Caenorhabditis elegans: one gene and its partners. The protein of the gene in region 2 interacts with the protein of the main gene of each other region in a pairwise test. Each region holds a gene or a part of one and is shown on either strand. Other genes may lie near its edges. The genes, in order: pax-3, ztf-16, flh-3 and T22C8.3.

Region 1 (9,745 bases), on a different chromosome or scaffold from region 2:
AGAAACTATTTCGCCCAAACATCAAAAACCGTTTATAGTTGAAAAACAATTTGTAGAATTTGATGATCTAGATGCGTAGTAGTTACATCATCAAGTTTTGAATATAAATTAAATTATTATTATGGATAGAAAAAAGAAAACAAAATATAAATAAGATAACTTTCAAGCTTCTGATAAAGTTTTTTTGTGAGGTAGGCCCGTGGGCCTGAATTTCGATCTGAATCTGAGTTTGAGTTCAATCTGAGTTTGCAATTAATTACATATAACATTTCAAAGCGCACGCATAAGCCAAGCGTAAAGTCCCAAAAACTTTAGTATATTTCTCTGGTTTTAAAATTTTGTGATCTCTAGTAATAAAATCAAAAATTGACTTTAATTTCCCCGCCTTCTGAATAAATTTGAAGTCTATTAGTTATCTCTGTAACATTCGTGATCGTTGACCGGAATAATAACTGAATATTTATTTATTTTTGTGTTTTTTACTTCATGAGATATGGAATTTGAGAGAGAATGAGATGATGGAAATCAAATGCTTGAGAGAGCACACAAAACTTGTACAAATGCTCAAGAACAATAGCGTCATCTGGAATAGGGAAAAAGGTTTTCACAGATTTTCAGACAAGTTCATACAAGTGGGAAGAAGAAGAAAACACGAAGAACTAGTGCAATGACCGTAATATTTAAAACCAAATTGATGAGAGGGAAGGCAAAGAGATTTAGATAAGTTTTGGGAAGAATGGGTGAATTCTTAAGGTAATGTTTTAAAATTAATTCTGGACTTTCAAATTAAATTTGTGTATCAATTTCTGATCGACTTTCAAATATCACAGGTTTTATTTGAAAGTTCAGAAATAAGTTCAAAGCGTTTAGCTTGATGATGGCGGAGATGATTGACTTGATGGGGGACTTGATTGGAGTATGTGTTGAAAGAATAACGGATTCAATTGAGGACTCGTTGAGTAGGAGGGTAGGAACATCATCGGTGAAGGCAGCAGCGTTGGGTAGGACTGAAAATCAAAGTTTTAGTAATTTGTTTTCTAATATATAGTTTCGATTTCTAACTAACCGGCGGAGATGATCCAAAACCTTGAACATTGTACTGTTGATACATTGGCATATTTTTCCGACATCTTGCTCGCCGATTCGAAAACCACGTCATAATTTTCTCTTCGCTGAGCCCTGTCTCCTTGGAAATGCTCTCTCTGGCGTTGGCATGTGGGTAAGTGTCTGCGCGGAACGCATTTTCAAGAACATCTAGTTGCTCGGCAGTGAATGATGTACGATTTCGACGAGACGATGCGTCGTTTGATGGTGAAGAGCCCTCTTCGTCATCCGATGACGATTTGCTGCATTCGTCTGAAAATTATTTTTTTGAAAGGGGTTATCATAGCTACCATTTTTGGGTACGTGAATGCATTTTTGAATTTTCATTAACAAACTCTATACATCCTCTCTCTATACAGACTTTCGAAATGTGGAACTAATATTTTTCATCTGCCATTTTTTTCATCCGTTGAAAATCGAAAGGGCAAATGTTCCAGGCGTAATTAAAATAACAAACATTTTCAATAGCATGCGACGTCAAAAGTTGAAGTAACTATTGCAACTAGAATATATTTGATACCAGGGAGGCTCTAATGAATAATGAGCATGCTGAAATGCCTTTCTGAAAGGCTTCCGGACTCGCCTGCCTCGAGACTGAAAATTATTTGAGTTCCGCATACGTTCTATTTCAAAAATTCAAAATCAGACCCCCGCCTATCAAGCATTTTCCCTCAAAATCCGGAAATCAATGAGTCAATTGTAAGGTATCTAACAGAGAAAGACTACGGCCTGCCAGTCGAGTCGCCCAATTACTATATATAATGTTGCGCCACAGTGGGTGGTCTCAGTCATGTCGTAGGCCTCTCGCATAGACACACTTCTCTAAAAATAATCGATAAAGATCGGGAGAGACCCTATTGCGGGTGGGGGAGGGGGGGTGTCTCTTCTAATTTATAGACTTGACACCTTTGTGTACTTGAGAAAGAGATATCATGTGGTGGAATGGACCCTATTAATTTGTTTTTATCGTTCCATTTTTTGACGGATCACTCCATCATCACCGTCGTTTCTCACATCCAAGTTTTATGAGCTGTGCGCTAATCGGTTTCTGTCACAGGAGTATTTTATAGTGACGGAAGGAAGGAAGGTAAGGTTATTTCTATACAATGTTCTAATTTGAAGAATGTCGATTTCAAGGATGCTCAACTTGATCTTTTATCTCATTAATATTTTTCATCCGTTCTTGTCAAATCAAAGCAGATTTCTACCGCACTTAGTCCTCTTTCTGGTAATAGTCTGCAGAAAACTTTAGCTACTTGCCGAGTAGAGTAAGATTTTCAAAAATGAATTCTCCCTTAAGCATACTGTAGTTTTTAACGATATCGTTCTATAATTCCCAATGCTCATTAAGAACGGCGCGGGGGAGTGCTATAATATATTCCCATTGAGCAATGTATTCTGAGCGTATTCCAGGAAGAAGAAACTTTTGTTTCCATTTCTTTTTTCACCTGGAACTTTATCACTCCAGTCTCTGATACCTAAATATCAGTCGTTGCGTTGTGTTTTCAACGGCTACCTATTTTTGGAAAATATTAATTTTTGTTACTTATGAATGTAATAGAAATATAGACATGTGGAAAATCATGGAAGTATTCTGACAAATTCGGGAAATTTCTGAAAAATCACGTTACCGCACCGCCGAGTTCAAACTTTGGTTCAAGGTTTGTGGTGGAGAGAGGGTAACTCGGACTCGGTAAAAACTTGATAATAAACAAGCTCACAATGATCTGTCATGCCTGCCTGCCTTCCAGGCAAGCTGACCAACACCTACTAACGATCTTGCGCAACATACCGTAACCCACATCCCTAACAATCATATTGTCAAATGTCAAATGTCAAAGTTTTAATGTGTTAAATTGCGGATATGTATTATGTTCGTATGCATGTGTTTGCTTTTTTTCGCGCATCCCAATCTTCTCTCGCGCCAGTCACTCGTGTGCCCATCCTGATCAATTGGCCGCGAAAATATGGAATTTATTGGATCGTTTTCTCCTCCTCCTACCTACCTATTTGAATAGGCACCTATCAAGTGCGCAAATCTTCTCCCCCTATCTTAATTGCTACGTGTATGCGAAAATGTGCGAAGTTGAGCGGTGGTTCACAATTTAAGGAATGACAAGATTGACGACAAGTTAGGAAGCGGGAAAAAACGGGACAGGAAGAGAGGGGAAGTGTTGAAAGTTTTGGAAGACAAGAAGTTGAAACAGCAGGAGGTAGTGGCATGACCCCTAGAAATTCAAGTAACTTGCAAAAACATAAGTTTGTGGCTGTCTAGTTTCTTATAAAAAGTAGGCTAAAAGTTTTGGAAGTTTTAAAAACCAAAAATTTCACTTTTATTCGTTCTATATAAACAGTCTCAAAGCTGTTGTTAAACTTGAATTTTCAGACAAAGATTTAATGAAACTGTTTGGAGTGCCGAACATGATAAAAATGCCTGCCTGCGTGCCTACAAGGTAGGCGTATGATGCCTGGAATTTGACATGCTCTTTCTTTAGATTACGATTTTCTTGCACAACTACCGTACCCTACCGAATGTGATTAACAACTGAGCACAGATCAAACAAGATTTTAGGATCAAAAGTGCCTGCTTACCGGACATCAAGGCGACCTACCTATAGGCTTCACAATGCAACATCAGACCCTAGACTTCACACCAAGATGTAGACGAATAGGCAGTAGGCAAGCTAACAGGTAGGCCTGAAGACACGCGGGACATTCCGGTACGCTTGTTGCAGATCAGGAGAAACAAAATGCGGTACACTACCGTAACCCGTAATTCAATCAGTCATGGTTCTCTCCCTGAAGATCTCCGTGGCGGCGCACAGCATGCAACTCACAAACAAATACGATGGTCTTGTTGATTAAAATCAACCCCTGACGCGTGCCCCCTTGTCTAATTCACATCATTCTTCACCGACGCTTCTTGTCCTTTCCGCCCCCACTTCTTCAACGTCTTCGCCTTTATCGTCTTATCACACCGTTAACATACACAGCGACATACAGGCGATACTAATCAAAGTGTTAATGACCGTTATTATATCAAAGAAGTCCAATATACAGTATGCCCTCTGGCCCCTTTGGGAATATTGGGAGGAATGAAAACTTTCATGCTACGTCTGTTTGTGTGTTACTATATGGCAGAAGAAAATTGAATTGAAAGAACGGAATGTTGCCTGATTGAACAGGAAATCCGACACCCAAAAAAGGTGTTGGAGGACATGAGACAAACGGAACGAAATTATAAATGTGTGAAATCAAGACTATTCCAATTAGACCACTTACCAATTGAAATTCCCAGAATGCTGTCGATACTGTAGCTCAGCCGTTTTCGTTCCATTTTCTTCGGAACCCCGACGCCTGCAAAAAAGTATGTGGTGATTTGTGTGAAGATAAATATTGATAAGGAAATTAAAACAAAAAAAAGTGATAAGGAAGATATGATGAAAAAGTGCAGCAAAAAAGATGATATGATTGGCGTGAAGAAATGATTGATGAGGTTATAGAAAGTGATAATTTGATCGAATATGTCTAGAAGTTCTTCTTGTGAGGTTTGTTGAATTTTTGTGGAAAATCACGCATCAAAAAATGACGCCCAAGCAAGTTTCCATGAAAGTATTCGAAACAAAAAAAATCGTTGTCAACAGTTAAACAAACACAACCACAGCTATCAGAAGCGGAACATTCATCAAACGAAACGAATTTCTGTTTGTTTTTCATCTATTCCTCTACCTTTTTTTTGCCTTCACAGTTTTCATCATTATTATACCTTTATTCCCAATAAGCCTTTTTATCGCAGGTACTGTTGGAGCATTTCCTTTTGTGCAAATGTCTTTGTGAATAAGCCAATCTCGGAGCTCTGCAGCGCTCATTTGTGGATTCTCATCACATGCGATCAGAATTTCTTTCTCGACGGCTTGGACTGTAAGTCGAGCGCGGGGACTTCCACCGATCTGAAATTAATTCATAGATATTTATGTTTAAAAAGCATTTGCTTTCGCTAGGCTTATGTAAGAAATATGACGAATATTTTCGGCAAATCTACAAAACTGCCCAATCCCAGATTATAACTCTTTTTTTTATTAAATTAAATGTAGAAATATAGATAGAAAAATATTTGATCAGTTTGAAAATATCAGTTATTTGCATTGAAATAGTCGAGAAAAATTTCAAAAACTGTTTCAAAGTTGTCATTTGCCGAAAACGTTTTGATATCAGTTCTTGGAAAGTTTCAGGTTGTTTTTGAGATGATTTTAAAGTTTATAAATGAATAAAAATTGTTTTGTATATTTGCACTCCCCGTTCTACACTCTTTGCCGTTTTGCAACCAACAAAATGGAATTTTCAAGAATTCAAAGTTTACTTTTTTTGGAATTGTAATTACCGTATGTTTTTGGTAACCAAAAACCTAGTAGACAACAACTACTTTAACAGAAACACAGACATCCGACGCATTTTTTGAAAAATGCCGAAAAGTGCCACCCGGGGCGTCGCACCTGCGCGACCCGCCAAAATTGAGTATTACGGTACTTTTTTGAATCAGGACGACGACACGCGGCACGTGTAGGCAAACATTAAATTTTATGGTTATGATTCGCCTGCCTGATGACCTAATTAGCAAATTATCTTATCATCCAGAAAATGCACTGACCTGTCCCGGAGATATTGAGCCCGTCTCGGCGTAACGATTCAAGATTTTCGAAACAGCTCCATGAGATACTTTGAGTTGACGACTGATGTGACATGGTCTAAAAGATTATTGTTAGTGTTCTCTAGAAGTTCGGACTACTTACTTTATACCCTTTTTGGCCATTGAAATGATAGCATGACGAACGTGAATTGGAAGGGGTCGACCGTTGATGAAAACTCCACCGAGTTGGTTAACACGACCCTGAATTAATTTTGGGCTTCAATAGAGGCGGTGAGAAAGGAGAAGAAATTGAGACTTGGAAAACTCAAAACATATTTTCAAAAACTTTTCAAATGCTATGAAAATCTAACTTAAGGCTAACTATAGTAATGATACTATCTAATTTTTGTGATGCTTGATGAGCTCTATTAACAATAAATCAAAAGTTTCTATAGGCTACAACTTCAAACTGTATAATTAACAAGAGCTTAATTTTAGCTCCTTAAAACGTCTGAGCCAGTATAGAAATAATTCGAAATTAACGTACATTCTAGAACCATCTAGAATTTCCAAAAATTTCTTCAATCAAATTTTTCCGGGATACATCTCCTACTTCTAGACATTAAAAAATACCTGAGCAGTAGTTTATGCACTACAACTAGAAAACAACTTATCGAAACCATAGACTTACCTGCCCAAGAATGTGATTAAATGTGATAGAATCTGTGGTCATTTTGTTAGTAGTGGATGGGATATCAGGAGCACGTATGGCTGGCCCCCAATATACCGAATGTGTGAATATCAGGTATATAGCGTGAAAACTTAAGGAGCGAGTAGTTTCGAGGTGACACGCCTTGTCGAACTGTGAATGGGCGGGACGGCGATCCCGCCCACCTATGCGCATGCGCGGTCTGTTACAGGCATGCATAGTCTCGAGTACGGTAATCGAAACCAGCGAGACATAGAGAAGGGCGAAAGACACGGGCGGTAAGCATCAAAGGACGTACTAGTAGATGTTGGCGCGGGGTATGTGGGTTTGTTATCAGAGATATTCTGACTAGGAGGTGGATTTTTGGAGATGAAGATTTATGTGCTCGATGGTTTTGATTTGAAAGGTCAATGTTTGGTAGTAGCACCTGCAAAATGGTGATTCACCTGTGGATAGTCTCGAAGAAAAGGACATCTAGGAGCGTGCGGATCTTGCAGATTCAAAATATTTGCAGATAGCTACATAGATCTAAGCAGTCCACCGTGCTTCTGGGTGAAGCTAGAAGTAACTCTAACATGAAACTGGAACCAGAAACGAATACTTCAAAACTTTAAAAATCGTTCATGTCCATTAAAAGCTTAAACAGCGTTAGAATTATTCATGCTACTAATATTTGAAAACAGCTTCTTAATGGATTTCAGACAAAGTTTACTTTCTTTGTTTGCTTTTTCGATTATGTGATTTGTTGGACTTACCTAACACAAAAATAATTTTCTGATTACCAAAAACATACATATTCCAAAAGTTGCAATTTCACGGAAACAAGAACAGATAGAACAAACAGACAACTTTCGAGAGTAGTGTAACTTGTTGGCAATGACCAATTTCCCCATTTTCATTTCCAGTGTTCAAAAGTGTAAACATATTTTACAAACAAAAGAGGTCAGGAGGAAAAGTGCTTCGAGGATACGGTACAAATATTTCCAATGAGAAATTTAAAGATATGACTTTGCAAAGATCGACTACATTCTTGCCTACCAGCCTACGGGTAGGTTAATTTGAAATCTGAAAAAACTAACATATATATGTATCTGTAATTTGAGACCAGTGTTAGTTGTAAGTTTGGAAAAATAGTTGTCACCTCTATTCATTCAGATTTTCAAGTATTTCTATAACTATTCTTTTTTCAGTATCCCTTTACTCTGTCTTATCTGATTATTCAATTTCAGACGTTCTTTTAGACCTATCTGTTTTGTGTCGGCCCGACTTAAGAACCTACTTGTCTTATCTCGATCTACAATGTGCAAAACAAGTTCATCCGCGAACTGTCAATCAATAAATTGCTCGCAATTAGCGAGTCGGTGTTTGGGAGGGCTCGTGTTGGGAAAGTTTATGTCATTGAGATGAATAATGGTATTTTTAGTTGTTTACCGACGGTGTCTAAAGATATAAATCTATTCTAAACTACACAATTGGAGAATTATTTGTGAGTTTCAGTTAGAAACAAAACGTGAAAATATGTGAAATAATGTGAAATAATCCTAGTCATTAATCCTTTATTACCCCATACAAATAGCCTTTTAATACCGAAAACACCTGAAAACTACACGTGCATTACCCAATCAACAAGTAGGGCCCAATTTCTTTTTCGGCACGTGTCACATCATCATTTCCTTCTTCATCTTCCCGGATTGCGCAAGGTTGTCTTACACCATTTTCCTGATAATCTGGGACCATGTTATCAGGGGGACGAAGAAACGGTGGCGGTATCGTTTGAAGTGGTATGCGGTCATAATTAAGGGCCACGCGCCGATGTCAACTTTTGGGGGTCTTCACACCTTTGTAACACTTGGATATATCTTTATCTATCTATCCGGAGAAGTGTGAGATGATGATGATGCGGGGTTTTCCGCTATCTGAAAAGGGCATCATCTATGGAGAATTGATGGGCTGAGTGCGGGAGTTTGTTGACAAAATGTGAAAAGAGTTTGTCCCAGCCACCGTGTTACAGTGTCTCATTAAACTCTACAATACTTATGTCATTATTGTAATTTCTCAAATAGATGATACAACACTTTAAAGGCACACACTGTTTGAAATGAAACATTAGAAAATATACTAACTTCAAATTAAAAATATGAAATTCTTGAAAATTTAGCTTATTGACAGCTGTCTCCATTTATTGTTCGAAGTTCTGGATTCTTATTATTTGTATTTCATCATAAGACTACAGTAATCCAAACACCTTTCAGCTCGATTTCGACCGGTCTCCTTCTCAAGTTCTGCAAAAAATCTTAATTGACTATGATAGGTTGGGCAGCAGAGAAAGATTGAAATAGAACATCAATATTTCCCACCACATTCAATTTTTTTTTAGCATCCCATCACTAGAAAAATGATAGGGACGCCTTCAATTTATCAACACCCTTTAATTAGCAAATTAACGACTGACACATCATCGACAAAGGAAAATGAAATTGAGACTCGATAGTGTCGACAAAAAGAAGACGGTTAGCAGTGTGTTTTATAAGTGACAAGATAATATCCCCGCATGTCACATCGAACACCTTTAAGGAAGAGAGAGTACAACCACTTCCGACAAGTGGCAGATTGCTGCGGATTAGGAAATATACTGTTGCCTGCTCCCACCCGACAAAAGAGCCGAGGTAATCTTAGGCCATGTGGTGGGCATTGGTTGTAATTAGCCGGAAGACGGCAGGTCTGGAAGGATTTCAGTCTTTTCAGACCTGTGCGTGTCGAGACAAGAACCAGATGGTGAAACGGAAGCGGGAAGGTGGGAAAATTCACAGAGAAATTGTGTATTATTAGGAGGGGTGGGTTGCTCAAAACTTATGCCACCAAATCAGAGGTGCGCGGCAATTGTTCTATGCAAACATTAATTTATAGATCAAAAAACCTAAAAATTATAAAAATAAGTTAATAATTTTTACGGATGAAAAAAAAATACATGGAAATTTTATTTAAACACGTGACAATCATTCCCCCTTTTTTCAAAATATCTTGCTCTGATTAAAATTAAATTTCCACGTTGACAACTCCATCGAAATTTATTTTGGATTTCAATTCCATATCAGTTGCGAATGAAAGATGAGCGGTAAATATTCGGGTAAGTGTTCAGATGAAGGATCAGAGAAAAAAATGTTTCTCGGTCCATTTTTAGTTCCTGAGGTTCCTGATGGACGCAATCGACTGCGTTTTCAAACTCTATATTATCATTTTCAGATAGTAGATTCTTCTTCGCCCACTATGGATGTTGTGTTCCAACCGAATCCTACGCCTGGATC
Region 2 (10,075 bases):
CCACTATGGATGGCAAGTCATCATAATAGCTCCATAGCATAGAAGATTCGTCGAAACTGATACCTTTGCTTTTCCGGTCGCTAATGAGCTCGTTGCCAACTTGCTCATTCGACCGTTATAACCATCGTATTTATCCTCCCACCTATTCCTTGACATGAGTTATCTCGACTCTGGTTTTCCGAAAATTTGATTTGAAATTGAGGCTGAAACTAAAAGAGAAGCCGAGAGAGAGAACTGACGAATTATCCAGAGTTATCAATCAAAAAACGCAGGGCAGCCGAAACTTCCACAAATCGGAATAATCAAATCCGACGGCCATTGCTTTTTTAATTCTTTTTAGTCCTTGACTCAATAAAATCAATGAATTCGCGTCTCGCTGTCTTCTCGATACATTTTTTCTGGATACTTGATTTCATTTTTAAGTTGTATTTCTTTTTCCGTGACTCACTCTTCACATTTCATACACACTATCTCTTTCCTAATCCAAGGTTCTTGATGAGAGGACGTATGTCGGTACCTAAAGTGTCAATTTTTCAATTCCTGTTTTTTTGGTTATCATCCTAAAAAATTTCACGTCGTTTTCCAAGGTTATTGAAACATTATTGTACTTTTTGTGAATTTGGTGCTCTCATAACTCATTAAAGATCAAAACAAATTGAAAACATGAAAATTAAAATCAATTTCGGAACTAAAATCTTCGTGACACTGTAGATGTTTGACTTGATCATACGTTCAGACGAAACAACAAAACATACAGGAAGAAGACACATATGCAAGCATTCACACCTTCTCCTAACATCCTTGTCTTCTAATTTTGTAACATTTCCGAACGGACAAAAAACCACAGAGATAATGTTAGAATGATATATAATCCTTGGAAAACCACGAGATCGTCAAAATCACTTGTTCTCCCTCCAATTTTTTATCTACATTTGACGTTTTCCCAAATGTTCATCCAATTGTAATTCCACATGCCTTATCTATTGGAAGGTCATTACTATGTTCCAGACGCTCTTCTCACTGCCACAAAAAACCGGGTTTTTTTCTCCATCGTAAGGAGGAGACATAGTGCGGAGAGGGAGGAAGTCTCCCTGCTGCAGCTAGTATGGTCTGAAAAGATCCCGTCGTCTTCACTTTAACCTTGCCGACCTTCTAGGCCACCCGCAACGGCATCCCCTCTCCCCCAGTGCCTTCTCTCCAATTTTTTCATTCTCTTTCTTCCGAACGAAACGGTGTGAGTGTGTGTGTGTGTGTGGGGGTGGGCGCTGCGTTTTTCTGATGAGGTGCGCGCAGCTCGATTTTTTCTTTACATCTTGCGCCCCCGGGCGACAGATAGAGATGATGCCCGTTGCTGCCTGCCGCCACTGCCGCTGCTGCTGCCATCGACAGTTTCTTCTTCTACATCGTTTTTCTTCTTTTTTCTTCATCGTATTCCCAAAAAAGCTTGTTTGGCACCCCGCGACACACGCACTATCTCACCCCCTTTCTCTCTTCTTGTAAATGCCATTCAGAAACCGTCACCTCCTCCCCCCCTCGATCCCCGCCATCTCATTTTTTCATTGCCATCCGCGTAAAGTCGTTTTTCCGCCCTGCCACCCCCAGGTGTAATCCGCCCCATATCAGTTTGCCAGCTTTTGCACTTTTAGTTCTACCGTATCCAATGCCTGCGGTGCCCCACCCCCAGAGATTCCTTCACTCCATATTTGCTCCCCACCATTCCTCACACCCCAAATTTCTCTTCCTATCCTAGAACCTAAAACATAGAACCTAGATTTATGTATCGCAATCTTACCGTTCTCCTCCGCAAACGTAACGTCATACTAGATGCGAGTTTGCTCTCCAGTCACTTCACCCATCTCAATTACCTGTTAGCACCATCTGTCCATCTAGACCACCTTCCTGCTAGTCTCGAACTTGTAGTGGTGGTTACGCGCAATTGACAGTAATCCAGTATAGACACACAGCCATGCAATCATCAACATAATTGTGCTATAATCCACCTGGCATTACTTTGCCTTCCTTGAGATCCTGTTCTTTTTTCTCAGGTTCCTGAATCTTATTTTTGTGCTGGTTTCAGATTTTGATCATTGAAAATTTTCATTTTATAACATTTTTACCCTATCCACCCAATCCATCAAATCTCTTTTTCGTGTTTATGATGCAAATTTTGTGTAATAGTATATATGTTTTGATGTTTCGTATCTTACACACCATGTCTGGATGCGATAATTAATCCATATTAGTTCCTCCTGTTTTTTTTAATGTTCATCAACTTTTTTTTCTTATTGCTCCTCGTAAAGGTCCGTAAGATACCTACTGCCCAGCGAATACACACTTTACCACTTCTCTTACAAATATAGTAAGCACACAGTAGCTCGTCGCTATGAGTGCAAGTCAAATCCGGAGAAGCAGCTTATGGAGTACACGGGGAGGCATCGGGTTGAGATGTTTGGCCAAACCCGGAAACCGTATCTCGGTCCTTCTTCGCCTCCGCCGCCGCGAGACGACAAACAACTAGGCGAGGTCACCTAGCTGCTCTCAAAACCGTGGACCAGGCTCTCGCTAAATCAAACACACTCATAACAAGTCCAACTCGCAGTGGTTGCTAAAGAAGCTGGCTATCCATAAATTACTGCCTACTCCCCAAATTCGTATCCAGGCGCGTAACCAGTAATTTGGCGAGCCGTTGTAAATGCTTGTCAATGTGATCATACCTATGGATCCGGCTCCTCCTTTTCCCCCTCCTCCGCTTTTTTCGCTCCGATAATACATATTTTTCCAGTCACTCTTAGTATTTCCATTTTCCAATTTTCCCATATATTCCTATATCCGCCTGTTACCATTTCCTATACATTTCCTTTCTTATCTTCTGCCATCCGTAAACACACCTGATTATTGTGTGCAAGTCTCGTCGTGCCATATTCCTCGCTTTTTTCCCCTATTTTTCCTCGTTGTTCTTCTTTTTGTCGCCCATTTTCGTCTCATTACCAGATATTCCCTGTCAGGGTTTTTCATTTTGCTATGGTTATCATTTCAGTGATCTCAACAATGGATGAACTGAACGCTTGCACAGAATGCGGATTCACGACTACTGTATTTTCCGAGTTTCAAGGACATATAGGTAACCAACCTGTTCGGTGATACATGAATGCCAATTCGTTTGAAACATCCACCTACCCGCGCTTTGTCCATCTTTTTTTCATCTTAGAACGGAGACAAACCCGTAAAAATTCGGATTTGTAGCGGTTTAGTGAGCGCTTCAACCCATTAACTAACCCGCTTCTATTGCGTTTCACATTTAGCAACATTACCCCCTAATACTTTTTTTTTGCAGAGAAGCACGAAAACGAGCACAGCAGGTCTTCAAGCGGAGAAATGTCTAACTCGCAGGTATGTTATGGGAGAGTAAAATTCATCCAGAAGAGTGAGAGCGTGTGAGTGAGAGATATAGAAAAAAGGTTGCGTCATAATGCCATATTTGCCTAATTAGTGCCAGAGGTAGAGAAGATATGTGAGGGAACAACAGAACGTGGAAAAAATGAAGAGGGGAGGGATGTTGGATGTGACGTTGTAACACGTCTTCCAGACATGCCCCCTGAGACTCGTTAGAAACATTGAGACCAAGGCTTTTCAGACAATCGAGTGGGGAGATGGTATTCAGTCGTCCACGCCGTCGCCACGGTCCACGCCCCCTTCAGATCCAACGCCGAGTCCGGACTCGGATGAACATCTTGAACATCACATTTCGATAACAGAAATCACAAACACTCTCATCAAAAGTAAGTTTTCTTTGAATTGCATTTTCTTACACACTGGAATGTATTTCTATTGATGGTTAATTACCAAGTACCAATATGCAATTGTGAAACCTAAAAATTTCAGAAGAACCAGGCACCAAAGGACAAAAGACGGTTCACGTTTGCCCGCACTGTAATTTCACCACTTGTATGTCGCAACACATGAAAAGCCACTTGGTAGGTTCAAGGATTTTTACCCGTTTTCTTGAAAGCATTCTCTTGTTCTATAGGTGACGGAAGAGTGAAAGATACTTTCAGTACATTATTACGCATGTTCCCAAGGGTACAAATTAATTTTAGCATGTAAATCTGTTGATGGATATGAAAGTCTTTTCAATTTCCCTCTTTTCCACTTTTCATCAATTCCTTGTAAGGTGGGTCCTGTAAGTCAACACTCCGTGAACCTTTTCTCTTCTCCCACTCGCTCCATGCCGCTTTTCTCACAAACTACTGTTTACTTTCTATCTACTGTCCAGTTAACTGCGTCTCTCACTTGACCCTACTGTTTTTTGTTCCGACGGCCAATCCCATCACTTCCCGAACGGTCATCGGGATGAGTAGTAGTGGAGTGGTATGGGAGAAGGAGGCAGGCTCCTCATATATTGGCTTTTCTTCTTAAGGATGTTGCCTTTCATGTGAGCCGGTGTCATACTAATTGGTTAAGGCAGAATCTTCCGAGAAACCAAACCAAAAAAAACATAGATTTTCCCTTTTTCGGTTATGTAGTGACATCAAGCGGTAGAGATTGGGATGGGTGGAAGAAGATGGGAGGAAAAAGAGGCGTTTTTGGAAAAAGAAACGGGAAGACCAGATACGGGGGCAGTACAAAAAACGTGATGACCTTAGAAATCACATGACATACCAGTGAAGATTCTTGAACATTTCAGGAAGCGCATGAACGCCATCAAGGCCAAATGTACCAATGCGACATCTGTAAAATGCAGTTCAGCCAGAAGGTGAGCAATTTTTAAAACATTTTCTGAATCGGAATCTGGTTTTCAAACACTCGACAACTTTTGAATCATTTGGATTTTCCAAGTATGGTTATCGTGCTGATTGATCTTCTTCTTTGATTCCCTTTTCACTTTCTTCCTGTGGTTTATCAATGTTGCGTTTTCAGGCTAACATGCATCGTCATCGGATGCGCCACAGCGGTGTGAAGCCATACGAGTGTCGTTTTTGCAAAAAACGATTTTTCAGGAAAGATCAGGTATGCTTGTCTGGCATATTTTTTATTACCCTCCACCTCCTAGCCCCACCATTTAACGGCTGTTGCGTAAGAAGCCGCTGCCGCCTTCCGTAACTCAAAAATCGTGTTTTATCTTCAATTTACGTAATCAAATGGAAAGTGAAACTGATCTCCCGTAAGGAAAGGGAAATTGAGGGAAGAAGGAGGCGGCGGATTGCCGCCTGAAGGTCGTTTTCAATTTGGATATTTTCACTTTCCCGGAAATAAGAAGAGTCTCTTCCATGGATGGCAGGGAACTGCCGCAGTGCCCATCAACCATTTCTTCAAGCGCTCTGATGATATCTGTTTGCCCAAAACCGTTCTTGAAGGTCGACGAGCCTGAAGAAAACAGGAAAATCGGGGGGAACCAATTTGACGGTATTGGTGTCAGGTTATGCCGTCGAATATGAAAACGGTTGGCGCGTCTTTCTTCTCCGATTCTTCATACTATCCGACGACGTTGGTGAAGATGAGAAGTAAAAGACCTTGACGATAGCACGCGCATTTTCTTCGGAAGATCCTACCTCCCATCCTACCTTCTAGCATCTTCTCGATGTCTCCATATTTTTGCCGCTCTTTACTGTGTACCTTACCCCCAGGGCCAATCAGTAAAAAAAAGAAGAAATACCAACCGTCGGCGGTTTTTTTTTTGTTCTAGCTGCGTCTCTGATTGGTTCCCGAAAAGTTGAAAGCCATCACCCTCGCTCGCATCAAAAGGGGTTTTTATAATGAAAGACAAAGGTTGCGGGGCGAGGAGAAAACCAGAGAAAATTGTAAATTGTAATATTGTGTGAAAGTGAAAACCGATTTTTAGATGTTAAAAACATACCGTAGTCATGTTTTAAACATGTAACTTAAAATAAACCTATAACTTTCAGATGCAAGAGCATTCAATGACACATATCAAAACGGGTTTTGGTTTCGACTGTCCAGTATCACAATGTAACATGCAGTTTAGTCAGCACAATGCACTCCGAGCACACTTGGAAGAAACGCACACAATTTCGTCAACAAATCCCGCGTCATGTAAGCGATGTAATTTGATGTTCGCCAATTCGCGACGTCTTCTCCTTCATTTCCAGACAAGACATGACGATTCTGAGGTAAGAGATGTAACTTCAGATTACACGGAAACGTAACACATGATTAGCGAGCAGAACCTGAGCCTTATTAGGTGATGTTTTTCTCGTTCTCGGAGCTTAATTCGGTTGCCCCAAGAGACGCACTTTCCGTGGAATCTCTCTCATCATGTGATATCCTGAACGTGAACTCTTATTTCTCATTCTGATTTTCAGTCTTCTCCGAAAAAAGAAAACACGCCAAAAAGGAAGAAGCTGTCGAATGGAAATGCTTTGCCAATGGATCCTGCGAACATGAGCATAACAGAACAGTTGCAAAGAATGGTGAAATCAGAGTTTAGCCCTCCAAACACCGACACCTCCGATAACTCCACAAGTTCTGAATTCGACAAAATTGTAAGAATCTTTCTTTCGTTTCTTTTTGAATAAAAAGCATTTCCATGATTCCATGGTTTTATTTTCAGCCACCAAGCTTCCCTATGGCTAACCCAGATATTTTGTTGATGTGTCTAAACCAAATGAACCAGTTCAATGGATTCGGAGAAAACATCCCAAGACCAATGCTCAACATTCCAAATATTCCATTGCCGGTATCAATGAAACCTTCACACTTTCGCTAATTAACCTTTGCATTTCAGGCTCTTCACAACATTCCAGCAGTGGCAGCGATTGTGAAGCAGGATCAGGTGCAACTCTGGTCAGAGCAGACGTCAAGCTCTGTGAGTGTCAGTGCTCCAAGTCCGAGTGAACAGTCGCACTCGCCGCCAGCCAATGAGTCATCACTTTCGTTAACTGAAAAAGAGAAATCACCGACTCCCGAAAAAGAAGACGAGGAGAATGTGGTATGTGTTATCGCTAATAACAACTTGTTATTGAAAATGTCACCATTTTGTTTACCTTTTTTCGAAGTGCAATTAGAATTGTGAGCATCGTCAACAGAGTTTTTTTTTCCAAAAATTGGGACTTTTGATCCATTTCTTTGTTGATGCCAAAATTTGGTTTTATCAACCTTAAAAACATAGACTGATTAAATGATTGCCAATTTGTTGCAACTTTCGGAACGTTCTCATTTGAGAAAAAATCTAAAAAAAGAGATAGAAAAACCGAACATTACACCATGTATAGTTTGATGAGGAGGTTTTCAATTTCTCGTAGATGTCACAAGTTTTCTTTGAAATCTGAAGGATGATGGATTCTCTACATCACCCACCTTATCAGAACTATCAACTTTCTCTTCCGAAATTTGAATTTAAAGGAAAACTATAGGTTTTAGGTATTTTGAACATTTTGCAATGAGACTTCTCAAAAAATTTCAAAAAAAAAGAGTTAATTTTAGCTAAAAGCCCGGCCTTTGCCTTTTCCGGTTCGCAGCAGCTGATACCATTCAAAAAAAAGTTCGGACTGCTGCAGTTTTTAGCTAGAATTTGGCAGGTTTTTTCAAAAATTCAAATTTCGATTAAAAAAAACTTTTTAAAAAGTTTCTGTTAGAAACTTCATTGCAAAGCTCGTTAATTCGTGCGCTTTCTGTATATATACTCAAAACACTCATAACCGTTACTCATTTAATGGCATCTAACTCTAGAATTATTTTAGGAATGCTGTCATTGCGGAATGATGTTCTACGACAACACAATGTACCTGCTCCATAAAAGTCTTCACTCGGACGGTGATCCTTTCAAATGCGCATTGTGCGGAACTCAGTGCGGCGAGAAGTACATGTTCACTACTCATGTCATTTTTGCCGATCATAGTACTCAAGCAACGACTTCCGCCTGAATTCACCATCATCCAAGAAATATCCCCCCGATTGCCTTTCAGTTTTAGTAGTCAGTCTAGCGAATCCAAAACACCCCCATTCTTTCATCCACATTTTAATTTTTGTTTTTTTTTTCGGTTTTCTTCGGTTTTTTTCGATGCATATTCACAGTCAATTCTGATTACCTCTTTATTTGTCACTTTCTTTCTTCATAACAGGGAAACAACGAATGATTCTGCTTCTTCTCATTGATTCTCAACAGCTCTTTGTCTCTATCAAAAGTATTTGCCCCGTGTTTTTGTCTATTTCTCATCAATATTAAACCATCAAATATCATTATTTACATTTTTAAAAACTTTCTTCATCTTCTCCTGATTCTGCTCTCTATCTTGTTTCAATTCATTTGCACACGTGTCAAAAGTCATTTTGGACCCGTTAATTTTTTCCGTAACCTTGCATTGTTAGGTTTTTGTTGTTAGTGTTTTATTTTCCTTTCTCACCACCACCCCTCATCAAAATTTGTACAATTTCAATGATTTCTTCGAATGTATTTTAAACTAGTGAACTTCAACTGATATTCAGAATTTTTGAAGGCCTCCTTATCTGTTCCACCCATCCCAAACATTTCTTTCCGATTAGAATAGTAATTTTATCAAGCTTTCTCTCTGTCCCACTGTCCCATCAATTTTCTTCCCATTTCAAAATAAATTTTGTTGAAAACATACTGGAGAATAGAATACTAGAAAAAAGTCATGGTGGCTAGGAAAACGGCTAAATGGATTGGCAGGCAGTCTGTGATTGACATTGGCCCAGCGTATATGGTTATGAGTCGTGTGCTGCTCACTACGGACAATCCGGTTCAGTTGGGCAGTGTCCCACGGGGACTTGCCAAGAACCCAATGCATCAACATTGTGCTCTGCAGGACCAACAATAGTGGCTCTCTTTCTCATATTTTTGTCAAGATTAGCGACTACTAGATCAGTTTTATTTATAGCCATTTGTAAGGACATTTGAACTATTTATGGGTTGTTGTTTTATTTCAAACTGCATCTATATTTGTTAGCAGATTGATAAAAAGTAGAACTATCACAACACAAATTGCAGGTGCCTTTCGTCAGTTATCTGACAGAACATGATTGAGAAACACGGTTGGCGAAGTTTCCAGTTTTTGCCATATTTTTTTTACAATTTCGCATTAAACCTAAAAATTCATGTTTATTCACATAATTTGATGAATGAAAAATTAGCTTGCTGGATTCTGAAATTTTGCAATTTTTTCCTCACAATTTTATGCACAAAAAATTTTCAAAAAATTTTGTTGAATATATTTTTTGAACTATAAACAAATGTTACATTTTTACATTTTATGAATTTTAAAAATTCAGAAAACAATAAAAACAAAAATTCCGGTGCTTTTTAAAATATCGTTTTATGAATATTCAGTTTGATAATTTCCAGGAATTACTATTTTTTTTAATTAAATTTTTTAATCTCAAAGACGGAAGTGTAAAAAATTGTTTTAAAATTTTCCAAAGTTTGCTTTTTTTTTTCAATTTTTTCAATTTTTTCCAAAAAAAAACAATAGGAAAACAATCTTCGACAAATAAAAAAACAATCTTCGACGGAAATTCCCAGAAAGAACAGAAACTTGAAAATAGAACAATTTGAAAATCATAAAACTTTTTTTTTTTGATTATACATTACTTCACTTTTAAGTTTTAACGTTACATTCCTTTTTCAAAGTTTGAGCTTCAATTGACAAACTGCACTTGCTGAATCTCATTTTCCCGCAATGTTTCAACGCCGTTGTTCAGTTTTCCATACATTTCAATTAATGTCCTTTGTGCTGACATCCCGCTGTGACACAGTAACTAATCGCGTTGAAATATGTGACTTGAACAGTTTGCAATAATTTTAATTTTTTTTCGCTACGTTTTTCTAGTTGCTTTCCACATTCTCTTAACAGTTTGCTAGAGAAAAAAAATCAGTTTGCGGGAGAAGAACTGCTTCCGAAGAACAACTTTCTGATAAATGCGTTTTTGTTAGACAACCAACAAAATGTATTCGTGGAAGAGCACATTTTTCACTGCCAGTTCATGAGGTTCTCGTTTCCCTCAATATACAGAGATAGATAGGAGTATAATTACAATTATCGTAAATCATGATAAGAATCAAGGTAACACTCTGCGCATGATTGCTCGAGTCTTCAGTCTT
Region 3 (6,357 bases), on a different chromosome or scaffold from region 2:
TAGTTCTTCCAGAAGTCAAACAATATAAAAATAACTTTTCACAGATCTAGTTCTATGAAACAAAAAAATTCTTGATTTCCATAATTAATATTTAACACAGAGTATTTATCTATGAAAAGGACAAAGAATTTTACAATCTTCAGAATTAAATGGAAATTCAATTATTTCAATTAAAAATTTATCATATACATAAAATAAGCTTCACAAAAAACGAAATAGTGATCTAAGACCCTTGAATGTCCGAGATGCTTCCTCTAACAATGGTTAACATAGAAAATTTACTTTTTATTACTGATTGCACGTTTCCATCAAAGATTAACAATATATAAGCCATCAGAACATCAAAGTATCTCTATGAGAATAAAGACAGCTTACCATATCTGATACAGTCATCAGAATTTCTATAACATTCTCATAAAGTATAATCCCGCTTACTGTCTGCCAAGCCAATACCATTGCATAAACAAAAGTATGGGTAATTGTGATTAAAGACATTTTTCGAAGAAAATCTTTATATTGGTTATCTTGAGATGCAAGTCGTTTTCTAACTTGATACAGTGTTGTGAAACCAATTATGGTAATTGCCAAAAAATATCCACCGACAAAACAACGCATATAAAGTATAATAGACACCGATTGATCCTGAAATTCCAGGCGCTTAAAGATTAGACCAAATTTTTGGATAAACGAGAAAGACGATTTGTTTTGATAGGTTCTTATATTCAGTTACAAAAACTTAAAGTCGATTACTCTGTTGTTAGATTTTTTAAAAATATTTTATAACAACCTAATTTTTACCTTTGTTGATCGTTCAGAATAAAATTTGTTCAGATCATAATCAAACTTTATTGCAGGTCGGTGCAACAGTTAAACAGCAAAAAATGAATAGATAATAATGATAACATAAATCAAAATATAATATCTTTTCCAAAATTTACTCGAATTCTCAAATAGTGCAGTTGATAGTCGATGACAACATATACAAATTGTGCTGACACTCTGGACATGGAAGAATACATTTTGCACAAAATAGAACATATCAATACTTTTGTTATAGCTTTCGTAAAGTGCAAGAGCAAATTTTAAGCCATCTTCTCTAAAAACCATTTAATGTGGCCAAGTATTTATCCAACAGAGAAGATTCAAAATTATATCCATTGTTATAACGCGGTAAAATGAATTTGTGAACTGTTCGTTAACTGAGAGCAATACTACCATAAAAATCATTATGAAAGCCGAAAAAATTCCATAGCAAAGCCATATACTAGTCAACGGAAGCATTAGAATAGAAGTGAATATGCTCTATGGCGCCGTTATTCTCACACAATTTACAAACCACGTTTGAGTGTAGATTGATGGAAAATTGAAAATAGGTAGTTAAAGGTACAACTCGCTTACTATTAGATGTGAAAAACTGATTGGAATCAAAAACCTAACCGGGTGACAGATCACTTTTGGAGCAATATAGTAATTTTGTATATATAACCTTACACTAAAAATGCCGCTTAAACATTTGCTATTTACATCTATCCGTATAATTGTGTATTAGAACAGATACATGGAAATTGAAGTTTTGAACTTATCCATTTGTGTTTTTTCTTTGAATAATTGCTATTTTAAAGATTGTGTACATTGCAAAAATGGAGTGCTTCTAGAAATGTTCATAAAGTGTGGACTACCTGTGGGGAAATTAATCAAAAAACCATTGATTTGGTATAATGTCATGATGAAACGTTTGAAAAATCCTGGAAATTTTTTTTTGAAAAGTTTTATTATGATATTTTGCTATTCAGGACCTGTAATGTGCTTTAATTATTTTCCCCACAGGCCGTAGTCCACCTTTAACAAGATGTCAAAGTTTGCCAGGGCGTTTCAGCCGAACGGCGAGGCGAGGAAATCTCTTTATGATTTCTCAATTGAACTTTTTCAATACTGATATTTATAAAATAACTCCGTATTTGGTTAGTTTATAAGTTAGAGAGATGAAGGGAAAAATGACAACCAAACAAGAAGAGGAGGAAGATTGGCGATACAATGAAAAGAGATCATTTGGAAAATAATTTAAAACTCGTGAAATACAAATTTCGAATCGATGAAAGTTTGGAATGGAGCACCCGATAAAATGAAAGTGGGTCGGGAATGAAATATTTGAGGGCAATATGCGCTCTTTAGTACAAATAACTAGCAATCGGAAGTACATTGAATATGAACTTGATAATAAAAATAAACAAAAACATAGTTAATTTAATCTTGAAGTTTGGAAACATGATGGATTTTCCAAAAGTTTGGTTTTGAGGAATCTAATCGAATAAATTCCTCGGTTCTCCATTGATCGATCATTTGCTGTGATAGGGGAACATTGATTTTGGATGAAATATTCATCATTAGTGAACGATTGGATACTTTTTGAAGGTGTTCTTGAATTGCTTGACGAATTGATTTCTGAAAAATTCCGATTTCTGTACTGTTCAAATCGAAGGTTCACTGTTTTACTTACCTCATTCCTTTCAGAAACTCGAATCATTTGAAATACTGAATCATTTTCATGTTGATCAGCCACAAAGAGAACTAGTTCATCATTGTGTGCATTTGGAAAGAATACTGGAAGATCTCCATTTCTGCTAATCAAATCAGTTCTCAATTCTCTGTTCTCCAACAAAAACTTTGTCAACGTCATCTCCATATCGTGTATTTCCATTTCTGAGATCTTGTTAAAAAGATCAGGAAGTCGAAGTGTGATTGGTTTACGTCCATCGCAATTATTTGTCATACTTAGAAGAATATTCATTGTTGAAGCATTCTTTTGTTCAGTTTTTGTAGAAAGAGTTTCATCTTCCAAATCAGATTTTGGAGTGAGAAGTGATGGTGGCAATAGGTTCTTGGTTTGTTGAGGCTGAAAAGTTAAACATTTTGATAAAGATAATTATGATTCCAACTCTAAAAAACAGCCTTAGGATGGTCCGACTCTAATGAAACTAGAAATAAAAAATAAAACTAACCCCATTGAGAGATAAGATGTGTCCTGATTTGACTTTTCCATAATCAATATTGTAATGTGCAAGATCAAAAGTAGTTGGTGGTGGATGATTGTGAACTTGTACTTTATGAATGACTCGTTCAGCATCAAATGGTGTATGAATACGTGCTGGACAAGTATTCTTTCGTTCACATCTGAAGAATCTCTTCTTGCTATCATATGAGCACTTGTCGAACACGTAGAGATGTTCATCAAAAAGTACACGTTCACGAATTCCACGTGGAGTGTACGGCTTCGAGCTGTTCGGTGAAGATTGTCTCTGAGCCTTGTTGATTTTTCCGATTAGCACGTCTTTCACTGTCTGTAAATTGAAATGAATAAAGATTAGAAACGATAAATTTTAAACAAAAATATTACACTTTATAAATTCAAAAAATTGAAGTTTAAGTGAAAACTTACAATTTGGTCTTCATCGGTACTGCTCATAACACTGCTACTACTGCTTGGCTGTGAATCTGGAGAAGTCGAAGATCGGAGGACATCAACCATGATGGGAATTTGTTGTGTAAGTGAGTCAAGGATCGCCTGTTGCTGTGCTTTCATTTTCAGTTCTTCCATTTCTTTCTTCTTTTTTTCATCTTCTGAAGCTTTCAGTTTTGCTTGGTGATCTGCGTACATTTTCTGCAAAAGAGCCAGTTGACCATCGTTCAATTTTGATACGTAGTTCTTTGCCCATTCCATAGTTGCATTTCCTGTTTTTGCTTGAGAAATTTGAGACGCAAGGTTCATTCTGAAAAGTTAGAACATAAATGTAAAGAAGTAGAAAATAAAAGAACTTAAACTTAGAGATTACAGCCTGCACTGTTAGTTTTTTTTTGAAAAATGTGCGTAGATCACAAGACTTATAAGTGACCTTCAGAAAAAAAACAAAAAACAAAAAAAACAACAAAAAAATTCTAGAAAAATAGATAGTGTGACCTGAGAGTTATCTACCCAATTTTGCACAGAAACGTTCATAGATCTTCAAAAATGAGGAAATACGGTAGATGAAAATAATGGGAATGGAAGATGTATGAAGAATTAGAGAGGGATGAACATGTATTAAAAAACAGTGAGCTGATTAAACGAAGATTCAATACGAAGATTCAGTCGTCTCCGAAGCATTCAATACAAAGACAGTCACACATCTGTAGGGACCACAGCCAACGAAAAAGTGGTGCATGTGCGAGAGATGGATCGGAAGATCGGCGCGCGAGGCAGACACTGAGGAACAAACAATGATCCACTGAGTTTAGAAATAGACAGCAGCTGTCTGCTATTATAGTTTTGTATTAGATGAATTAATGAATAGGAACCAGAAAAAACGTTCGAGGATCATGTGTAACCTGCCGGGTTCCCAAGTTTAGAGGATTAATATATCAAATTGCAACGGGAAGAAATAGCATATTTATATTCAATACAAAGTTTAAAATTAATTAAAGAGTTTTCAAAGTTACGAGCTAAACTAGAAAAGTGGTTAAAATTGGGAGCGACGTGGGAGCCCCTAGATGGGAATGTTGTCAAAGTTAAAATCGCACTGCTAATACAAAAATATCGATTCGATGGCCGGGACGCCAAGCACTATCCTACTCTCATACACACATACACACACACGCCCACAAGAACGGACCACCCAAAAAACGGGGCGACGAGACTGGAGAAGAAAGAGAACGCTGTGATGTATGTGTGGAGGGGGAGTGAGCACACCACTGCAACACCATTGGCAGGGGTGAACTGGTCCGTGCGCAGACAAGCGCGCGCGGGAGGGGTCCTCCCGTCTTTTTGGCTCCCTCTCTGATTGTCTACGTCTCGCCGATTCACAGGCTCTTTTGATGAAGAGGACGCTGTCGAGGAAAAGAGGAACAGGCTGCGTTTTCGACGGTTCGCTTTGGCTACAAGAGAGGAGACAGGGAGAGATAGATAGAACCGGGAAGAATAACCTATATTTGGAAGAAGGAGTTGGTGAGGTCATTCTAGATAGGAAATAAACTGATTCGAGCAGAAGTGACAATATGCGATAATTCTGCAAGAGAGAAATTCGGAATCGGTTGGTAAGCAACGAATAAAAATTTCAGGTTACTGTACCAGCTTTTGGTTGCTTTGAGATAAAAAGTAGTCTAACACATAAACCCGTCGAAATATGTGAAATTCCAATTTTGATTTTCAAAGCACAATAATCCGAGTGGTTCAATAGATCTACTGTAAGACCTAGAGACCATCAAATTCATAAAAAGAGCCGCCAAACTGTTGCGTATTATCGCTCTAAACCTCTCAAAACATTTGGCAAAACATACACATTTATTTGCACGGGACACTAAAAAATGAGACGGGACCCCCGACCATCAGGCAGATGACAACAGTTTTAGACAACAGAATGAAACTGTGTGCAACAAAATGGAATGGTGGGGCATGTGAGAAGGGAGGCGATGTGCTCTATGATTGATTGAAAGACAATAGATCTTAATTGAGAAGAGGGCGACGATAAATTCACAATTTCTTCGATTGGTGGAAAATATAAAGTGATTAATTGCAGATGATTTCGGGGTTGGAAGCATAGAGTCGACATACAGGGTGGCTATAAATTATGGAAATATGATGCTATGAGACCATTCAGGATAGAGATAATTTAACTAAAATTTAAGATAAAAATTACCACTATAACCTCTGTAAAACTTTTGCTTTGGTTGCGAAGTCTTCCACCAAAACTGATTTAGTCATCAAACTATTGTTTTTTCAATGCTCGACTTTAATTTAAACGTATTTAATTATTTACAACTTCTTGGAAAATACTGTGAATATTTATTAAACACTGGAGAAAATCTATAATTAATGGAGATCCTGTATTCTACCGGAAACAAATTCTAAAAATTGGCTTTTTCCCAAGTCATCCGACCCCTTTCTTCGCTATGATCCCTCTTTTCAATATTCCAGGTCAGCCCCAACTCTCAATACATTCCAAATTACGTCAGTGCCCCCGTTTCTCTCTATCGTCTCATATTCTTCCCTTTTCCTTCACCCTTCCACCATTCCCCCCAATCGACGTCTCCCGGGCGCACTCTGCCTCGTTTTTTCACACTTTCTCGATGTCTTCGTCTCTCTTTCTCCTATACTATTGAACCATCTAGTGAAGGTTCAAGAAGACGGGAACATGGTATGCATAATCTGGTACCTCTCTTTGGCATGTGCTCTCTAGTTAATGGTCGTTGGAAGAATAGAGCTGGAAATGGTGATTGATCAGCAAGATGTAAAAAACCTGATGATATAAATTATTTTGAGTACAGAGTAAACATCATGAAGTTTTTGATTCATCTAGCAGCATCATGAAGGCACTTTGAAATCTT
Region 4 (5,888 bases), on a different chromosome or scaffold from region 2:
AATATATTAAGTTCTGAAGAGAAAAGTGCTATATCTAGAACAAATTTTTTACTAATAGAAAAATGTAAAATGACAATTAGCTTTCAGAATATTGTATAAGATTTAACTAGATATGTTTTCAGAGTTTAGAAGATCTAATGAACCTTTTAAAAATCTCACCTCACTGACATAGCTCCTACTAGAAAATTCACTCCAAAAATTGAAAATTCTGATGAAATTCAAAGAATATTTGATTTTTTCATAAATAATTTACAATCTATCACATGAACCTTTGAACAAAAAGAAGCGCTCCTGGAGAATATGAGCCGAGTTGGTCGATTTGTATCAAATATCGGTGATCACTCATTGTCCATTGTTTGAGAAACTCCCATATGTTTTCTGTGTTTGAGAAAACTTATTTATGTACACAGCGTTCATAACCATCACAAACATTCTATGGTTTCGAGTAAATAGGTGTCAAAATGATGATGTCATTTTGGAATTGATTTATGAGAATGATCATTATCTTCAAAGGTGGTCTTTTCACTTGTGGCAATCAAATGGGTCGTTGAAAAATTAGCTGATTTTTAAATTTTTTCAGAAACAAATGATCAAATAAACATTCAAAAAACTACAAGAAAATTCTATTAAAATACGCTACAAAACCAAATTATGAGATAATTCTAAATTTAATAGCATGGAAATGAATGAAAAATGAAAAAAAGAAATCAGAAATAGTACTTTATACATATGTATAATAAAATTTAACTTCGTTTGTCTATATTTGAAACAGGCAACTTTGTAAATTAGCTTTTCATTTTTACTTTCATTGTTTTCAATTTTGGACCTAAAGGGTAAGTTGAAGAGATCTGAAACTGCCGATAACAGACCAACAAAGTAAAATAAAAACAGTGAACTGTTTCATTTATGAACTTATTTGTCAGATTATTTTTCACTACCAGTTTTCATAAACTCCGCCAGACCTAGTAAACATAGTATTTAATAATACGTCCAAATGAAACAAGTTCAAATTAAAAAATTAAACTTTTTAAAATTTTTTAAAAAACATTGAATGAGATAGTCGATAACACGCATGTACTAAATAAAGTTTGCAGTAGCCATAAATATGCATGATCAATTAGATCACAGTTAATTTGAAGGAAATCCTCAGAAAACAAAGCTACAAAAATTGTTGCGTAGGTGGATAAACGGTTTCATAGTAAGAAAAATATCCGATTGAGAGAAGGAACAGAAAAAGATAAGAAATACAAATAGATATTTAGTTTTGTCTGTGTGCCTACTTATCTACTTGATATGTACTCGAGTACTCGATATGAATATAATTTTATAAATATCGTAAAATTTGCACGAGGATTCACAAAAAACTGTTTCATATGAAATTGCGTTGTTTCAAATATTTTCAGCACTCGTAGTTTTTTTGTTGGTATTTTCTGCTCAGAATATTTTCAAACTAAGAAAATGTCAGTATAATTAAATAGGCTTTGCCATGGTTATTTTGTGATGTATCCAGCAGGAAATTGGTATTTTAGACGCAACAATGCACACACGACAACAAAATCTCACACCGCACCACATACAATTGCTAAAACCAATCAGATGAATTTCCATTTGCACTTGATATTTGTTTTGAAATTAGAATATTCTAAACTTATTTTGAACAATTTATTCATCATGGAATGAAATGTACATTAATACAAATTACAGTGAACAAATATAATAGCCGCAAATTTTGTGAGAGATCGCGGAAGTTGTATAGTTTTCAATAAATTAATTTCAATTCGTGCAATCGTTATCGTGGAAAATCTCATTCATCTGGGAAATCATCAAAATAGTCCAATTCGTCCGAATCGTCCGAATCAATTCCTGCTAACTGGAAAAATACTTTTTAAATAAAATCAAATAATTAATAGTTACTAACCTCTCTTTGTTTCTTTTGCTCATATTTTGCTAACATTAAATCCTTAGTGATATCCAAAGACGTATCGAATCCAACAACTCCTTTTAAAGTGAATTCGTATGGCATTCCTTCTAAAGTTGGCATTGGGAGAACGGGATTTTTTGCAGCTTCTTGAAGTTTTCGCACGAAATCAGGATACACCTTTGAGAGCATCTGAAATTTTCAAAATAATGAGAAATTAATAAAAAATGTAAAGACGTTACCACTATTAAAATTTAATATGAAAACTCACACTATCATGTAGACTGAGTTTCATTTTATCATAACACTTCTCTAGGTGCACTCTCAAATTATACTTAAACTTAATAGGAGTGTTACAAAGTGAGCAGTATACATCTGGAACGTCTCCATGCGATTTCATATGACGCTTCAGTTTGTCCGGAGTTGAGAAAAGAAGTAGACATTCTGGACATTGACGATGTCTTTGCTTTGGATCAAATGCTCCTGGAATATAGATGTTTAAACTAATTTCAAACTAAAGTGAGATATTCTTCATCACATATGAAGTGCGCCAATTTACCCCAAATTTCAAAAACATGTCGTTTATATTTTGTTTTATAATCTATTCAAAACTTAAACTCTTCTCGAAATCTGATATGCAAGCTAATTTCTGTTTTTTGAATAGGTGTGAAAATGAACCGAATAAGTTTTTGATGACTATGTATATAGATTTTTAAAAAATATTATTATTTATAACTCACTTTGCTTTACTCCGTGTTCTCCGTCAGTTTCTTGCTCTTCTGCGATAGTATCCCGATTTGGCTTTATAGTCCTTTTTCGATTTTTTGACCCTACCATCATTTTTCTTTTAGATGGGTACAATGTCAACTCGTCTTCCAAATCATCATCTCCTTCTTCCTCTTCTCGGACTTTAATTTGTTTCGCCGATTTTTTAAGTATTGCATTGACTTTTTCAGTAGTGCTTTCTTTGTCTTTTCGAGTTTTTTGAGTCCTCAAAACACGATCTTGAATCGTTGACGTTGCCATTCTTTTTGATTTTTCAAATGTTTTTCTATTTGTTTCTTTATTCTGCTTGCTTGTGACATCTAAAGCTTTAAAAATGAAGAAAACATTGAAGGTCACAAATTAATAATCATGCATTGCAATAATCATACATTTTTAAAATCTCACTTTTATTTTTATTTGCCGGTTCGGAAATTGGGAGTCTTTTTGTTTGGTTTTGTATTTTATGAGCAATTTCCATGTTGCTATCTTGATCTAAATCAATAACAGGCTCTTTTTGCGTGGTATTAGCCAGTTGTTCGGTGGTTGCCATGACTGAAACAAAATTTTCAAAGTTTGTTGGTACATAGCTTTTCATGAAGAATCATCAATTTAAAATGTACATAAGACAAAGTATAAATGTAAGCATTTTTTCATAATTTTTGAGTATATAATCAGTCCTTGTGCTTTATTATAATTATCGATCGTCACTATGACAACCAACGAATAGAAATCGAGAAATTAAACAGATAATTTAGTTGGATGAGAGAAGAAAAAACTGATAAAAGCATGAGAGCTCAGCTGTGTGAGCTCAAATTTGCGGTGTTTGAAACATGTAGTTCAATAGAGCGAATTTGAAATGGACGGGTGGGGGGTCTTGTATGTGAGAGAGAAGAACGCGGTAGTCTCACTGGAAAAAATGTTTAGTAACACGAGAATATAGTTTGCTAAAGTTCCAAAATTATTTGCCCGATCCAAGCTATACTTTTAAGTTTGATGCTTCGAATTAATTTTCAAAAATAATTCCGTATGATGTTTATTAACGAGAAAAAATGTAGATTGAAATACCAGCTGTGGCAAAATGAACAAAGAATTGACAATTATGAAATTCCATAACGAATACAAATATCTAATCACTTCTCATCAAACAAATTGACATCGTCTAAGGCGTCCTCATCTTCTGACTAAAAAAATACTATTATCATAATGTTACGTATAACTGCAAATTACATACAAAAACGTCTGTGGGATATTTCGGGAGCATCACATCCAAATGAACATCAAGACTCATATCGAATCCAGTGACAAATGAATATCGATCCATTCTGTATGGCATTCCATTCAAAGTTGGCATTGGAAGAGACGGATTAACTGCAGCTTCTTGAAGTTGACGTAAGTAGTCCGGGTAAGCTTTGGCGAGCATCTGAAAAAAGTTTTCGAAATTCAAAATATAACACATTTTGCTTAAAAGTTTCAACTCACACTGCCTTGTTCCATTTCTTTCTGGCTCGGTTGACATTTGTTCATATGTTGCTTCAAGTTGTATTTATACTTGATTGGAGCATTGCACATTGGACAGTATACCTCTGGCTCATCTTTATGAGAATGGTCATGGCGTTTTTTCTTATCAGCATTTTTAAATAATGCAAAGCAGATATCACATTGGAGAGCTCGAATTTTCGGGTCTTCGCTTGCTGAAAACCTTTCGAGTTCAATTTTGGTAACAGTTAAGGTTTTGATTGTGGGATGATAAAGTGATTTACAGAATGTTGAGCATATTTATTTTGGTTAACTTACGAGCTCCAACAATTTTGTTCTTCTTTGCTGCAGCTGTTTCAGATTTCTTCTTCAAAGTCTCTTCTCGTTTCTTCAATCGAGCTTTTTCTTTCTGTTCCTTTTCCAATTTTTTCTTCATCGCGTCTTCCATTCTTTGTATCTTTGCTTCCGATGAAGTTGAAGATTTATCAATTCTTCGTCTTTTGGGAGCAACACCGGATAGCTTTGGTGAGTGATTTTCAATATCCATTTGATCACTACCAAATGAAGTTGATGTTGAATTGCTAGTATTCATATCTGAAAGAAAAACGGGAGTTTGATGCAAATGTCTCAAAATAAAGACATATTTTAAAGAAAATTTAAAAAAAGCTGTTGTGCAATGTGTTAAGAGTGATGTTGAGCAGATGACTATGACCACAACAAGTGAGCAAAAAGTAGAGGGAAACAAGAAAGAGAAGACTGTCATCTTTCCTTTCTTCTGGATATATGTTTATTGCGGTGCGATACTCTGCACGGTGCGAACAGATTGAGGAAATGACCTGACCTTTTTAACTAACAAAACACTTGCAACGACAGTGAAATAGTATTGGCAGACGGGAGAGAAATAGAGACAACAATAGAAATGGAACTGTTTTGAACAATTTGTAAAAATGATAGATTTGATAATTATAAACGATAATTATATAAATTGCAAGTTGCCTGTCTATGACAACATTATGACAAGCTAATAAGTTTAAAGAACAGATGAAGCAGTGCAATACTGAAAGGTACGCAACTGTCATAGAGGAAGCAAAATATGTACAGTAATTTTATGTTAAAATAAAATATTACAGCTTACAAAGTATAATACGATGTGCATAAAATCTTACGCCTGTCCGTGGCTGTTTACCGATTCTGTAAGTGACCATGAAGGATAGTTATACTGCACGACGGAAACTTCTCGGTTTTCTTGGTAGTACGGTAACGGATTAGCAACATCTGTTTCACTTTTCACCGTTGGAAGGATTTTCAGAGATTTGATGCAATTATTTTTAAATTCCGAGGAGTGCCCCAACATCGCTAGTGCAGAACATTTGCTAGCACCCACAGTTTAATAGTCATTCATTTAATAATCTTAAATACCGTCTGGCATGATAATCAATGCAAAGTATCAGTTTTTAGTTTGCTTTGAAAAAACCGTTCGTTGGCGAGATTTAGCGAGAAACGCTACTTTCACAAGATCCCCGCATCTAAGTCTGAAATTTGCCTGTCATTTCAGGTGCCATTCTCATTTTTTTCCCTCAAGACCTCCGCGATTCTAAAACTCTAAAAGTGCATCTTTTCATCTATCTCTCTTACTTTTTGCTGCCGAACGAAACAAAAAACGAGCATTTGTCACTTGGTTCTCGGGGTCGTCGTGTGCACGTCGTTAATCGTCCAGGTTCATTGGTTT

What was found.
Region 1: the proteins of ztf-16 (region 2) and pax-3 interact in a two-hybrid assay, tested with the Caenorhabditis elegans proteins (one large-scale study listed by BioGRID).
Region 3: the proteins of ztf-16 (region 2) and flh-3 interact in a two-hybrid assay, tested with the Caenorhabditis elegans proteins (one large-scale study listed by BioGRID).
Region 4: the proteins of ztf-16 (region 2) and T22C8.3 interact in a two-hybrid assay, tested with the Caenorhabditis elegans proteins (one large-scale study listed by BioGRID).

The regions. Positions count from the first base shown.
Region 1 is NC_003280.10:10,143,567-10,153,311, reverse strand, and holds pax-3 (Paired box protein 3 homolog), read right to left. Parts: upstream 6,743-9,745; 5' UTR 6,465-6,742; coding exon 6,423-6,464; intron 5,993-6,422; coding exon 5,895-5,992; intron 5,850-5,894; coding exon 5,753-5,849; intron 5,055-5,752; coding exon 4,871-5,054; intron 4,462-4,870; coding exon 4,387-4,461; intron 1,357-4,386; coding exon 1,067-1,356; intron 1,008-1,066; coding exon 867-1,007; 3' UTR 447-866; downstream 1-446. Other genes in the region: F27E5.3 (uncharacterized protein), read left to right, coding at 9,120-9,234, 9,684-9,745. UniProt on the Caenorhabditis elegans protein: Transcriptional activator. Regulates the lateral/ventral epidermal cell fate decision.
Region 2 is NC_003284.9:4,804,499-4,814,573, reverse strand, and holds ztf-16 (Zinc finger protein ztf-16), read left to right. Parts: upstream 1-3,033; 5' UTR 3,034-3,048; coding exon 3,049-3,121; intron 3,122-3,334; coding exon 3,335-3,390; intron 3,391-3,634; coding exon 3,635-3,779; intron 3,780-3,882; coding exon 3,883-3,974; intron 3,975-4,328; exon of another isoform or gene 4,329-4,466; intron 4,467-4,684; coding exon 4,685-4,753; intron 4,754-4,917; coding exon 4,918-5,007; intron 5,008-5,069; exon of another isoform or gene 5,070-5,210; intron 5,211-5,903; coding exon 5,904-6,128; intron 6,129-6,320; coding exon 6,321-6,500; intron 6,501-6,568; coding exon 6,569-6,694; intron 6,695-6,742; coding exon 6,743-6,946; coding exon of another isoform or gene 6,947-7,030; intron 7,031-7,697; coding exon 7,698-7,880; 3' UTR 7,881-8,576; downstream 8,577-10,075. UniProt on the Caenorhabditis elegans protein: Positively regulates the expression of ver-1 in the amphid sheath glia of amphid sensory neurons. Together with ehn-3, plays a role in somatic gonad development and is required for proper gonadal primordium assembly and somatic gonad precursor cell morphology.
Region 3 is NC_003282.8:9,267,506-9,273,862, reverse strand, and holds flh-3 (FLYWCH transcription factor 3), read right to left. Parts: upstream 3,768-6,357; 5' UTR 3,767-3,767; coding exon 3,437-3,766; intron 3,339-3,436; coding exon 3,000-3,338; intron 2,894-2,999; coding exon 2,498-2,893; intron 2,443-2,497; coding exon 2,245-2,442; 3' UTR 1,925-2,244; downstream 1-1,924. UniProt on the Caenorhabditis elegans protein: Probable transcription factor. May bind to the promoters of target genes, including micro-RNA genes, in order to repress expression, and acting redundantly with flh-2.
Region 4 is NC_003280.10:8,618,742-8,624,629, forward strand, and holds T22C8.3 (C2H2-type domain-containing protein), read right to left. Parts: upstream 3,243-5,888; 5' UTR 3,234-3,242; coding exon 3,089-3,233; intron 3,004-3,088; coding exon 2,659-3,003; intron 2,402-2,658; coding exon 2,190-2,401; intron 2,111-2,189; coding exon 1,919-2,110; intron 1,871-1,918; coding exon 1,805-1,870; 3' UTR 1,644-1,804; downstream 1-1,643. Other genes in the region: T22C8.4 (C2H2-type domain-containing protein), read right to left, coding at 3,814-3,864, 3,915-4,103, 4,163-4,374, 4,478-4,751.